Canis lupus familiaris: one gene and its partners. The protein of the gene in region 3 binds, or shares a complex with, the protein of the main gene of each other region. Links are inferred from orthologs where the notes say so. Each region holds a gene or a part of one and is shown on either strand. Other genes may lie near its edges. The genes, in order: PRPF3, LSM7 and LSM6.

Region 1 (3,745 bases), on a different chromosome or scaffold from region 3:
AATAAATAATTTTTTTAAAAACAATAAAGTTCATAATACCTAAGAATGTTGTCACATTTCTCTGTAGTCATAGTCATCCCCATGGAAATTCTGTACCCAGATCATTTTATGTTCTACGAGATCTCTATCAGTTGACTTCACAAAATTAATCCCTCAGCTCAGAAAAGAATACCCTCATTTTGGATGTGCTTTCTCTCCCTTTTCTTTCTTTCTTTCTTTTTTTTTTTTTAAGATTTATTTATTTGAGACACAGAGAGAGAGGCAGAGACATAGGCAGAGGGAGAAGCAGGCAGCCTGATGCAGAACTCAATCCCAGGACCGTGGAATCATGACCTGAGCCAAAGGCAGACACTCAACCACTAAGCCATCTAGGCACTCCTCTCTCCCTTTACATCTTTATTCCTTTCTTTTTAGCTTTTAGCTTAGCAGAGAAAACATTATCATAAAGAACTCTCTATAACAAATTTTAATTATTTACCCAAGTTAGCAATTCTTCAAAATTATTCATGTTTACATTTTGCTCTCCTAGTTAAACAGTAAAGCCTGGAATGCCTGGGTGGCTCAGTGATTGAGCGTCTGTGTTCAGCTCAGGGAGTGATCCCCCCCAGGTCTGGGGATCGAGTCTCACATTGGGGTCTCTGCGAGAAGGCTGCTTCTCCCTCTATGTCTCTGCTTATGTCTCTGTGTCTCTCATGAATAAATCTTAAAAAAAAAAAAAATAGCATAGCTCATGAGCAGAGAGAAAATGTTATTTCCCTGATTTTCTCACTAAGTGCCTAAAGCTAATAAACAGCACTGACCTCAATTTTCAAGCTAACTTCCTCACAGCAGTGCTACAAATCAGGGTCTCTGAGAGTCAATCTTTCAAGATTTTTTGTTTATTTTTTAAAGACTTTATTTGAGAGAGAGAGAACATATGAGCGGTGGGGAGAGGCAAAGGGAGAGGGAGAAGCTGAATCCGGACTTGATCCCAGGATGCTGGGATCATGACCTGAGCTGAAGGCAGATGCCAAATTGACTGAACCACCCAGGCACCCCTCAAGATATTTTAAGACATCTTTTTTCTCTTAAAAGATGGTCTAATTAACTTCTACTTTCTTGGCAGGTTTATTCTCTATAAGACCTGTTGCTAAACTGTGTATTTAATTTTGGTATAACCACTGGAAGCTAGTAGATTAACGTAATGAAAATAGGAGTGAAAGATTTTGTGTGCCTCAGGACATGTTATATGAATAATTCTATGGCAGCTCTACTCACCTCTCATGATATAGCAGTATAGTGTATAAATCAATACATATTAAATGTACGTTACTCAAAAGAAGCAGATTCAGACCCCAAAATGAGTGAAGAAAAGAGTTCACACTGAACATTTGAAATATCGAACTCTTATTTGGCAAGTAATTCCTCTGAGCCTCAGTTTACTTGTCGTACAAAATGAAGCCAATTGCCATATCTAAATAATCCTTAATCATTCAATAAACACTGCATAAGTACTAGGTCTCAAGCAGTGTACTGTGTGCTGAGGATACAAGTGAACAGACAATCCTCGCCTTAATGGGGCTTATATTCCACCAGAATTGAATCATGGGCTAGAAAGGGTAAGCATTTTGAAAATCCAAAGAACAAATCACGTACCGCTCTATCAGATGAAATGTGTGCTCAAGTACCATACTAACAAATGTATTCAACTTCAACCCAATCCTCTAGGAAATTAAACAGTCAGTGGGCAAAAATAAAAGTTTCAAACAGTAACTAGCTTTTTGTCACTAATCAAATGTTCGACAATAACTGCCTCGGGCGGGGCGGGGGTGGAAGTAGAGGAAGGCAGGATCTCTGAGCAGGTAGGAGAATCCAATCTTCTGAAAAATTTCCTTACTCCGTGTTCTTCCCTGCTAACCTGACTTTCCCCCCTGCAACTCCCATTCTTCTGTTTGCTATCTCCGACCGGTTCCCTACCCCACCCTGTTCTCCCCAAACTCCTCATCTTACAGCTAGTCTCCCCACCCCGTCCCCTTCCCGCCCCCGCCCTTTTCCTCCTCACAATCTCACTCCAACCCATTCTCCCTCAGAACCCTGTACTTCTCTCAGCTTCCTTCCCACTGAACGTTCCCGCCTCGGTCCTCCCCGTGGGCTGAGTCCCGGCCCTCGCTGCTCAGACAGGAGGATACCCTCAAAGGGCCCGGGGCACTACTCACCTCACAAACTTCAGCCTCTGAGACGGAGCCCGAACGTTACACCGGAACCGGAAACCCTCGGACCGCCCTACGGCCTGCCGTCGCTACCGCCACAGCTGCCGCCACGCCGCGGTCCCCCACATGTGACGGCGAAGGGCCGGGCCACCGATTTGCGCAGCCGTAGTAGCTACTTTCTCTGCGGCGGAGCGCATGCGTGCCAGGGCAGTAAAGTTTGCGCATGAAAGTTCCTGCGTCTTTGGGTTTCTCCAGCTAAATCTGGTAACTAGATTACTGCGAAGTTAATGTTGCCTGAAGCAGAAATTGGGCTTGCAGTACTCACAGTGTGAATAAATGCGCTAAAAGCGAGGCTTCTGGGACGCCTGGGTGGCTCAGTGGTTGAGAGCCTGCCTTGGGCCCAGGGCGTGATCCTGGAGACCTGGGATCGAGGCCCACGTCGGGCTCCCTGCATGGAGCCTGCTTCTCCCTCTGCCTCTGTCTTTGCCCGCCCCCCCCCCCCATGATTAAATAAATAAAAATCTAAAAAAAATTTTTATTATTATTATTTTTTTTTAAAAAGCGAGGCTTCTGGGTTCGGGCTAAACTGAGCCTTTCTGGTAGGCAGTAAACCATCTTGAGAGGCGGCACCACTTTAACCTTTTTCCCTTACTTAAGTGTAGTGTCAGAGACCACCAAGAAAAATGACTAACATAGGACGACTCCGAAGATAGCATGCCCTCCATCTGTGCCTTTTATGGTTTCATTCATTCATTGGCGTAATACTTATTGACTGCCTACTGCCATATGCCAGACATCCTCTGAAAATCGATATTGCTTAAACTAAGGACAGGGGCTTTAAAGTCAGACTGCCGAGATTTGTATTCTAGATCTCACGCGTTAGCTATGAAAGCAGGCAAATTACTGAAGCCCTGTTTCCTCACCTGTTAAAAAAAATTCTCTTCACAGGGGCTGCTCTGAGGTCAACAATGACAGAATGAGGGTAATGCACTTAAAACAGTGCTTTTCATAGAGTTAAATAAGCTATATTACATATAATAGTCAATTGCCTATTTAGTCTGGAACACATCTTAAGTTTACACGATAATGAAAACTAAACTCATGATTTCACACCGCATCCGCCCTGCCAAAATACCAGCTCCAAGTCTTCATTCTCAGTTAAGAGCAACTGTATTACAGTTTCGGCAGGCCAATAATCTTGGAATCATCCTGGACTCCTGTGTTCTGTTGGTCCTGCTTTCAAATACATACAGAACCCACTTGTTTCTCACCACCTCCACTACTCTCATTTTTATGTTTCGATTATTTTAGGAGCCTCCTGCTTCCAGTCTGTCCCCCTTTTGTCTCATAATGTAGGTTAATAAGCAAATTATCTAGTACTAGAAAGGCAGCTATTATAGTGACCATGTAAACACCTCAGAAAGGTCGTTATGTCCTTGCTTAAAACCATTTCTTGGCTCTTCATACAATTCAGAGTAAAATGTGCCACTCTATTACCTCTGTGATTTCAACCTACCACCACTCTTTCCCTCACTCATTCAACTCCAGAATCGTAA
Region 2 (3,675 bases), on a different chromosome or scaffold from region 3:
TCACGAGCCATACGGAAACCAGCAGTGGCGCGCATGCGCAGAGGAGCGGCGCCTACACGGCCAGAGGGACGCGCCCCAAAGCCCTGCCCCTCCGGCCTTCAGGCCTCCCGGCCCAGGCACAGCTGGCGAAGCAGGGGTGCCCCCACCACGCTCCACCGCGCTGCTGTAGTGTCTGCGGGGAGTACGGGGCTGGACGGGACCGACAGCTCTGCGCACCACGGCGTGGGGGCCCAACCCGGCCTGCTGCGCTCCTGTGAGCAGCTTCACCGGCTCAGGGCGCCTTCACGCCTCCAGCCGTGACCGAGATCGCCTGGCTCTGTGCCTTCCTCTCTCCCCGACTGACCTCCCCTCCGCCCGCAAGACAAAGGTCCCGAGGACACTTCCCCGACGAGCTTATGGGCAGCGGGCACTGTGGCCGCACCTGCGGGTCTGCCCTCCTCCGTGGGGCACGAGCAGAGTTCTAAAATGGGGCTGACCCCGGTGACCACCCAGTGGAACCCCTCCCCTCAAGTGTGGGAGGGAACCTGTGAATAGGACGGGATGCCACTCCTGCCATTAGGTTACAGGAGGATAAAGACGAAGGAACGGGCACGTGTGATTACGGTCCCAGAATCAGTGCCCTCTCAGCTCACCTAAAGAGATTCTGCTCGGCCGGCCTGACCTAATCAGATGAGCTCAGGGGAACAGGAACTGTGTCAAAAAATTCAAAGCATGAGAGGGATCTTCCCACTGGCCTTGAGGGAGCAAACTGCCATGCTGTGGACAGTGCTGTGGCCAGGGCCGGCGGGCAGCCTCTAGGACACCTGTAGCAGAGCTCGGGGACCCTGGTCCTACAGGGGTAGGACCCTCGCAGGGGACCAAACCCTGCCCACAACCAACAGGGCGTCTGAGACACTCCTTTAGTGCAACCTGAGCCCCTGAGCCCAAGGCACCCAGACTCCTCCTGACAAACACCACAAGATAATAAATTCATGTTGCGTAAGCTGCTAACGTGGTGGCAACTTGCTACACAGCGTAGAAAACCCATATGAGCACCCTGAGAAACGAGAGCTGTGTCTCCTTCACGGGTCCCAGAGCCAGCACGGCGCAGACAGAGCAAACATCTGTTCGGGTTCAAGTTCTCACCACTGCTGGCTACCTAGACTTGCAGGCACCGCGCTGTTAACCACGCCGATGCTACCCAATCGTCCACATCTCCGGGAGAAAGGATCTGGGTCACTGTCTCATGAAACACAACGAAAGCAAAGAGGCAGCTGAAGAAATGAAATGTTGCTCAAGTGCTTGCTTGTGTCAGAAACCACATCGAAGGTGCCTCCAACCCTGTGATCCTCACCACCGCCCGGTGAGGTGGGGGGAGTGAAGAAATGGAGCCCTGGGGGGCGGGGTGAGCTGCCCGAAGTCCCACAGCCAGTGCGCCAAAGAGCTGTGGCTCTGACTCCAGCTGCCTGGTGCTAGGACCCCAGAGGCCACACTGCCTACACGCACCAGCAACACTGGGCCCAGCTCCTGCCCTCCTCACTATTCCAGGGGAAAGATGCAGAGGTCGGTGTCGTGTTTACTGCGTAAAGCGGGGAACGGTGACAGACGGTACCAGGAGCTGACACCAAAGGCGTGGGGCCCAGGGTGGAGGATCAGGGAAGGCTTCCTGGAACAAGAATCCTGAGCTGAGAGCAGAAAAATGACTGTGGAGTTAACCTGGAGTTAGAAAGAGAGACTCCCAACGGCGTCACTCGTGCCAAGCCCCGGCCACCCCACCGCGGCCTCATACCTAACCTGGCCGCACCTGCAGCTCTCCCAGGAATGCAATCTCCACCAGTCAGCCTGGAACTTCCAGGTCAGCCCTCCCGAGCTAGTCTTCCTGAAAGAACCCCCAGCATCCCCCAGAGGAGGGGGACCCTGCCGGAAGCGATCCAGCGTCTGCTCCTGCACCCTCTGCCTACGAAACCCTCTGGGGCTCTGCGCCGTCTCCTAGGTGGGGTGCTCCCTGGCTCGTGAATAGTGGGAGAAAGCTCCCGAGATCTTTGAAATTCATTCACCCAGAGAAGCCTTGTGTTTTAAGCCTGGTAAGAGCCCAGCAGGCGGGTGCACGTCACAGCCTGGTGGCAGCTGAGAGCTCCGCAAGGCTGCCCCTTCCCCGGGAGGGACCGGGCGGCCCAGAGGAGGGCCCACCTGTGTTTAACAGGCCCCTCTGGACCATCCTTGACACCGGGCCGCGGCTCGGCAAGGGAGATGCCTGGTTGGGGTGCCCAAGCTAAGGCATGTCCTGGCATCTGGCGGCATCCGGGGGTTGGCTGCTCCCCTCCCCCCAGCGCCCCGACAGCCCCGAACAATCTGGCTGGCGTCAGGGTCACGAGTGCGGAGCCCAAGGAGCCGGGGCGGGGGTCAGTGACCAGCGGGGACCAGCGGGGGCGGCTGCCTCGGAGCGAGGACCCCGCCTGCGCCTCGGCCGCTTCGGGGTGTCTGCAGCTCCTCCCGTGCCTCAGTTTCCCCGCGTGCACGGCGTCGGACGGAGGCCGTCGCGAGTCCTCCCAGCAAAGCGCTCCGGCCTGCGCCCGGGCATCCGCCACCCTGCTCGCCTCCCGGAGCCGTCGACGGGGAGCGGGCGGCGGGGCGGGCGGCGGGCGGCGGGGGGCTCTCACCTTCGCGGCCTCCCTGAAACTTCACCCGAATCGTCTTGTCGATGTACTTCGACAAGTCCAAGATGCTCTCTTTTTTCTTCTTCTCTTTGTCCTGCGGGGGAAGCAGAGCGCGTGAGGCGCAGAGCGCGGCCGGGTCCCACGCCGCCCGCCCAGCCGGCCCCGCCGCGCGCTCACCGCCATCTTGCCGCCGCGCGCCGCTCTGCGCAGGCGCCGCCGCGCGCCCTTTGACCCCGCCCCCGTGCGCAGGCGCGGAGCGCACACGGCGCAGGCGCGGCGGGGCGCGCCGGGGCGTTGCTGGGAAACATCTGCCGACGCCTGCGGCTCGACCCGGCTGACATGGCGGCGGCGGCGGCGCTGGCGCGGCTCGCGGCGGCCTTCCTGCTCCTCGCGACCCAGGTGAGGCTGCGTCGGCCCCGCCGGCCCCGCCGGCTGCGGCGCCCGGTCCCTCCGCCCCGGGCCCCGCGCCCCGCGGGAGCCCCGCCCGGCCTGGCCTGGGGGCCAGCCTCGGGTCTGCTCGCCCCCCGCGCGGTGGCCCGCGGGCCGGGAGCCGGGCCGTGACCTTGCGGGCCGGCCCCCCCCGGAGCCCTCCCCAGCCGCAGCGTCGCCCAGTTGCGCCTGGGTCTGAAGTCCGGGAGGCCCCCCGGCTCCCCAGGCCCTGCTCCGTCCCGAGGCCCCCGGCCGCCGCCGGGGACGCCCCCCGCCTGGCCCCCAGCCTCAGTTTCCCCTTCCGCGCGAGGTTAGCGCCCACCCGCGTGGTTGCGGTAAGCCGTCCGGCGTGGCCCCCGGTTCCCCACAGGGAGCGGCCGAGAGCCCGCGTCCCGAGTGGGGTCCAACCGCCGCCCCGTGTTCTGTTGCGTGACCTTGGGCAAGGGAGGCCCCAGCTTCGGGCGTCAGTTGCTCATCTGCAAAAGGAAGACGTCAGTGAGGACTCGGCGGTGATGCTCATGGGGTGACAGCTGCAGCGTGCTCCTCCTCGGGCAGCTGGGGTCAGAGGTCTCCGGGCCAGCGGGGGGCCTGCTGCCAGCCGGGGGGTGGA
Region 3 (3,745 bases):
GGGCCACTTTCCTCCCCTCTCTCACTCCAGCCATGAATCCAGCACTCAGAGAGCACCCCTTCCCATTTAGCAGGCTGTTCTGCAGTTTTCCTGTTGATCAGTCTCCCACAGTAGGTTCTAAGCTTCTCAGAGACAGGGGAAAAGGAACCTAAGCTCACCGGCCAATCAATCCTGTGGGAGACATTTGAGGACAGTGCCAAGGAAAATCCCTGTCCCTTTCACCCCTACCCGCAAACTATGGGTATAGTGACTAGCACTGCATCATCTGTGCACTTAAATGGCTATACCACAGTCATATCTCTGCTACTGACCACCAAATAAAAGACAAAGAAAATAGAAATGTTTCTGTGTTGTACAAGAACCAGCTGCATCCGAGTCAACAGAGATGCTTGTTAAAATGCAGATTCCTGAAGTCTACTACTCCTAGTCAGACTCCCCAGGCAAGGGGACACCGTAACTGACATTTTATAAAGCTTCCCAAATGATTCCTGTAAGCAAATGCGGACATCTGGAGACATTCTGGACTGTCTTGAATGAGGAGGGTGGTGCTAGGACATAGAGGCCAAGGATGTTGCTTAACATTCTAAAAAGCACAGGACAGTGCTCCACAGCAAAGGATTATCCGGCCCAAAATGTCAACTGAGGTTGAAAAACTCTGTTATAAACCCTTTATCAAAAAACCATTGTTCTCTAGTATTCAAGCAACAAGGAGTTTTAAAAAACTTTCAAGGTATAACAAATGAGAACAAACAGCTCAATTCTAATCAGATGATCGAGTACAAATTCTAACTTTTAATTTTTTTTTAAATTCTAACTTTTTAGATACTTTATCCTGACATAAAGGGAATCTAAAAACAACTGTCAAGAAATCTTGAAGGGGGGGAAATCCTTGGGTGGCTCAGCGGTTTGGCGCCTGCCTTTGGTCCAGGGCGTGATCCTGGAGTCCTGGGATCGAGTCCCGCATCAGGCTCCCTGCATGGAGCCTGCTTCTCCCTCTGCCTCTCTCTCTCTCTCATGAATGAATAAATAAAATCTTTAAAAAAAAAAATCTTGAAGGGTTGCCATTTTAAGTAATGGATTTCTTAGTCCCAGTCCTGAAAATGGTCAATTTCCCAAGTGTTACACTTCCCTCAGATGACTAAAATCTCTGTTATTTCTAACAGGACAAAATAATTCAAGTGATGCCAAGATTTTTAAAAATGCTCATACAAGTATGCCACAGTTTAGTGAGAGACCACCCAATGCAGCATAAGGAGTACTCACTTGGGAGATGGGAAACCTGAATTCTAATCCCAGTTCTGCTACTTAATGTAGCTGTATACCTTGGAGAACTCATCATTTCACCTCTCAAGGCCCCAGGTTCCTCATCTGCAAAATAAGGGAGTTATGCTGGATGACCACTTAAGAGATCATCCTGCTCTAACATTGTCAGCCTATGCAGGAACTCCAGTAATACTTTTACACACACACACACACACACACACACACACAAACCCAAGATAATTCTCTAGACTCCTGCACAAAATTCAAGCAATTGGCATTATGAAACACCACCATAAAAAAAAAAAAAAAAAAAAAAAAAGTGAGGGTGACGTGTTAGAAATACATATTATGAGCTATCATACTTTTGGTGAAAACAGGCACAACCTTACATGAAATGCAAACTGCTAAAACTCTCCTGGAAAACAATTTGGCAAGGGGTATGTAGATCTGAAGAGACCTTACTGGGGCACAGCACCTATTGTAAAAATGTCCTTGCTCAGAATCAATCCAAGTGAATCATCCGAAATGCAGTTTTAAAAATAACGTTTATCAAAGTACTACCTGGGATGCTAGGATGAAACAAAAATTCGCAAACACCCTAAATGCCTCACAGTCGGGAAATGGCTGAATAATTTACGGGACCTACACAAGGACAGAACAGGTAGCCCACCAAAAGGCGCAAAACCAGAAATAACATTTAAGAGGCACTTTTCAATGAAAGCGGACAACTCTCTGTACTGTTAACGGAGGGCACAGGTAGTCGTAGCTCAAACAGGAAGTGGCACGTGCAAGAGTAAAGATGGAAGGGGTTCAGTGAATAGGGCTTCCTTCGCTAAGCGCTTCTGAGTCCAGGATCTCCACAGCCTGTGTCTCTGCGGCATTGGGGGGGGGGGGGGGCACCCTAAGGCCCCATCCCCTGCTCCGGCCGCGCGCGCTCATCCGCGGCAGCCCCGGCGCCAGGACTCGACGCCGTACCCTGCGGGCGCCCGCGGCCCGAGGCCCCAGGCCCCGGTAAGGTGGCCGCGGCGGCCCCGGAGCCCTCGGAACCCGGCGCGGCCCACGGGGCCCCGCGGCCCGCTCTCCCGCCCACCCGCCGGCGAGGACCCCGCCAGCAGCCCCGGTCCCGGTCCCGGAAGGCGAGTCGGCGGCGCGGGGAGGCTGCGGCGGGCGCCCGCGGGGTCCATCGCCCCTCCGGGGGGCTCTGGGCCGGGCCCCTGGGGTCCGCGCGGCCCGCCTCCCGGCTGCCGCTCCCCGCACCCACCCCGGGCCAGCGAACACCGGGGCCCCCGCCGCCCGCGCGGCCGCCCGGCTCACCTGGCGGCCGGGACCCAAACCCCCGCTCCAGGTGGCGCGCAGCTGCGGCCTCCGCCGAAGCCCGGGCGAAACCGAAAGTGAAACTGCCGGAGCGGGCGGCGCGCCTCTGCGGCCGCCGGGGAGCGCCCTTCCGGGCTACGGCAGCCTGCGGGGCCCAAGAAGGCCGCGCTTCGGCGGCGCGCGCCGAGCCGGGAGTCTCGTTTGGCCCGAAGGCAAAGTTGGGGCTTTGGCGGTCAGAGGAGAAAGAGCCGCTGCTGCTACCTCTTAGCAGAAAGCAAACACCCCTTAAAATACTTAAAACAAAACAAAGCCTGGAAGTGATCTTTTAGGCAGGATTTCCTTTAGGCAGAGATGCAAGAAATAGCTTGAAGTCCTACTAAACTGGAATTGACTACTAGGGTCATGACTATACAGGCTCGGAAAGGTCCTTGAAAAAGTTAATGCAAATAAATAAAGCAGGCATCCTCAAATCTTTAAATCCACTTTGGATTTTGATCGTGCGATGAAGTCATTATTAGCAAGAGATTGTTTCCATGGCAACGTAATTGCCACAAAAAGAATTAAAATCCCTAAAGTAGCTCCGTATTATAATGGTATGACTTGCGTTACATTACAATCTAGTTCTAATTGGAAATGGTATGCAGACATTATTTAAGTGCTGCTATGGGAACTTGGTTTGGAATTCTGCATGGATTCTCAATATTCTTGCTATTAGTGGAAAGGGCGAAGAAAAAGAAGTAAAGTGTTATACCAACACTTGATTCCTTTTTCTCCTCACACACATACCCTCAACTTAAAACCTATACTTTAATTCTGCTTGTGATTTGCAACACTCTAAACAAAGAAATAATATCTTTGGACAGATTCTTAACTCTTAAGTGTTACAGATCTAAGATGCAGGGTTTTTTCCCTAAGATCTACATGAGTTTCCCCTCTCGTAAACCTGTCTTAGCTGAAGAAAGAATCTTTGATTGATATGACGGCCAGAGAACAACTGGGTGTGATTTGGTGGTGAAAAGAGATTTCCTTATATCCTTCCATAAAAGCTCACTTTGGGTAAAAACCAAGCATTACAGATTTCTTGAAAAGGCTTTATTTGAAGCTCTTGCGGTATAAGATATAATGTGAAAAAAATTAAGTATCATTTAAATAAAATAATTAGCTGCAA

What was found.
Region 1: LSM6 (region 3) and PRPF3 share a complex: the UniProt entries of both Homo sapiens proteins name them as parts of the precatalytic spliceosome. The link is inferred for Canis lupus familiaris from reciprocal best matches to the Homo sapiens genes LSM6 and PRPF3.
Region 2: LSM6 (region 3) and LSM7 share a complex: the UniProt entries of both Homo sapiens proteins name them as parts of the precatalytic spliceosome. The link is inferred for Canis lupus familiaris from reciprocal best matches to the Homo sapiens genes LSM6 and LSM7.

What each region holds. Positions count from the first base shown.
Region 1 is NC_049238.1:60,208,443-60,212,187, reverse strand, and holds the start of PRPF3 (U4/U6 small nuclear ribonucleoprotein Prp3), read right to left. Parts: upstream 2,582-3,745; 5' UTR 2,196-2,581; intron 1,904-2,195; exon of another isoform or gene 1,636-1,903; intron 1-1,635. UniProt on the Homo sapiens protein: Plays a role in pre-mRNA splicing as component of the U4/U6-U5 tri-snRNP complex that is involved in spliceosome assembly, and as component of the precatalytic spliceosome (spliceosome B complex).
Region 2 is NC_049241.1:57,200,678-57,204,352, reverse strand, and holds the start of LSM7 (U6 snRNA-associated Sm-like protein LSm7), read right to left. Parts: upstream 2,830-3,675; 5' UTR 2,820-2,829; coding exon 2,814-2,819; intron 2,731-2,813; coding exon 2,640-2,730; intron 1-2,639. Other genes in the region: SPPL2B (signal peptide peptidase-like 2B), read left to right, coding at 2,976-3,035. UniProt on the Homo sapiens protein: Plays a role in pre-mRNA splicing as component of the U4/U6-U5 tri-snRNP complex that is involved in spliceosome assembly, and as component of the precatalytic spliceosome (spliceosome B complex).
Region 3 is NC_049236.1:44,950,137-44,953,881, reverse strand, and holds the start of LSM6 (U6 snRNA-associated Sm-like protein LSm6), read right to left. Parts: upstream 2,737-3,745; 5' UTR 2,578-2,736; intron 1,369-2,577; exon of another isoform or gene 1,264-1,368; intron 1-1,263. UniProt on the Homo sapiens protein: Plays a role in pre-mRNA splicing as component of the U4/U6-U5 tri-snRNP complex that is involved in spliceosome assembly, and as component of the precatalytic spliceosome (spliceosome B complex).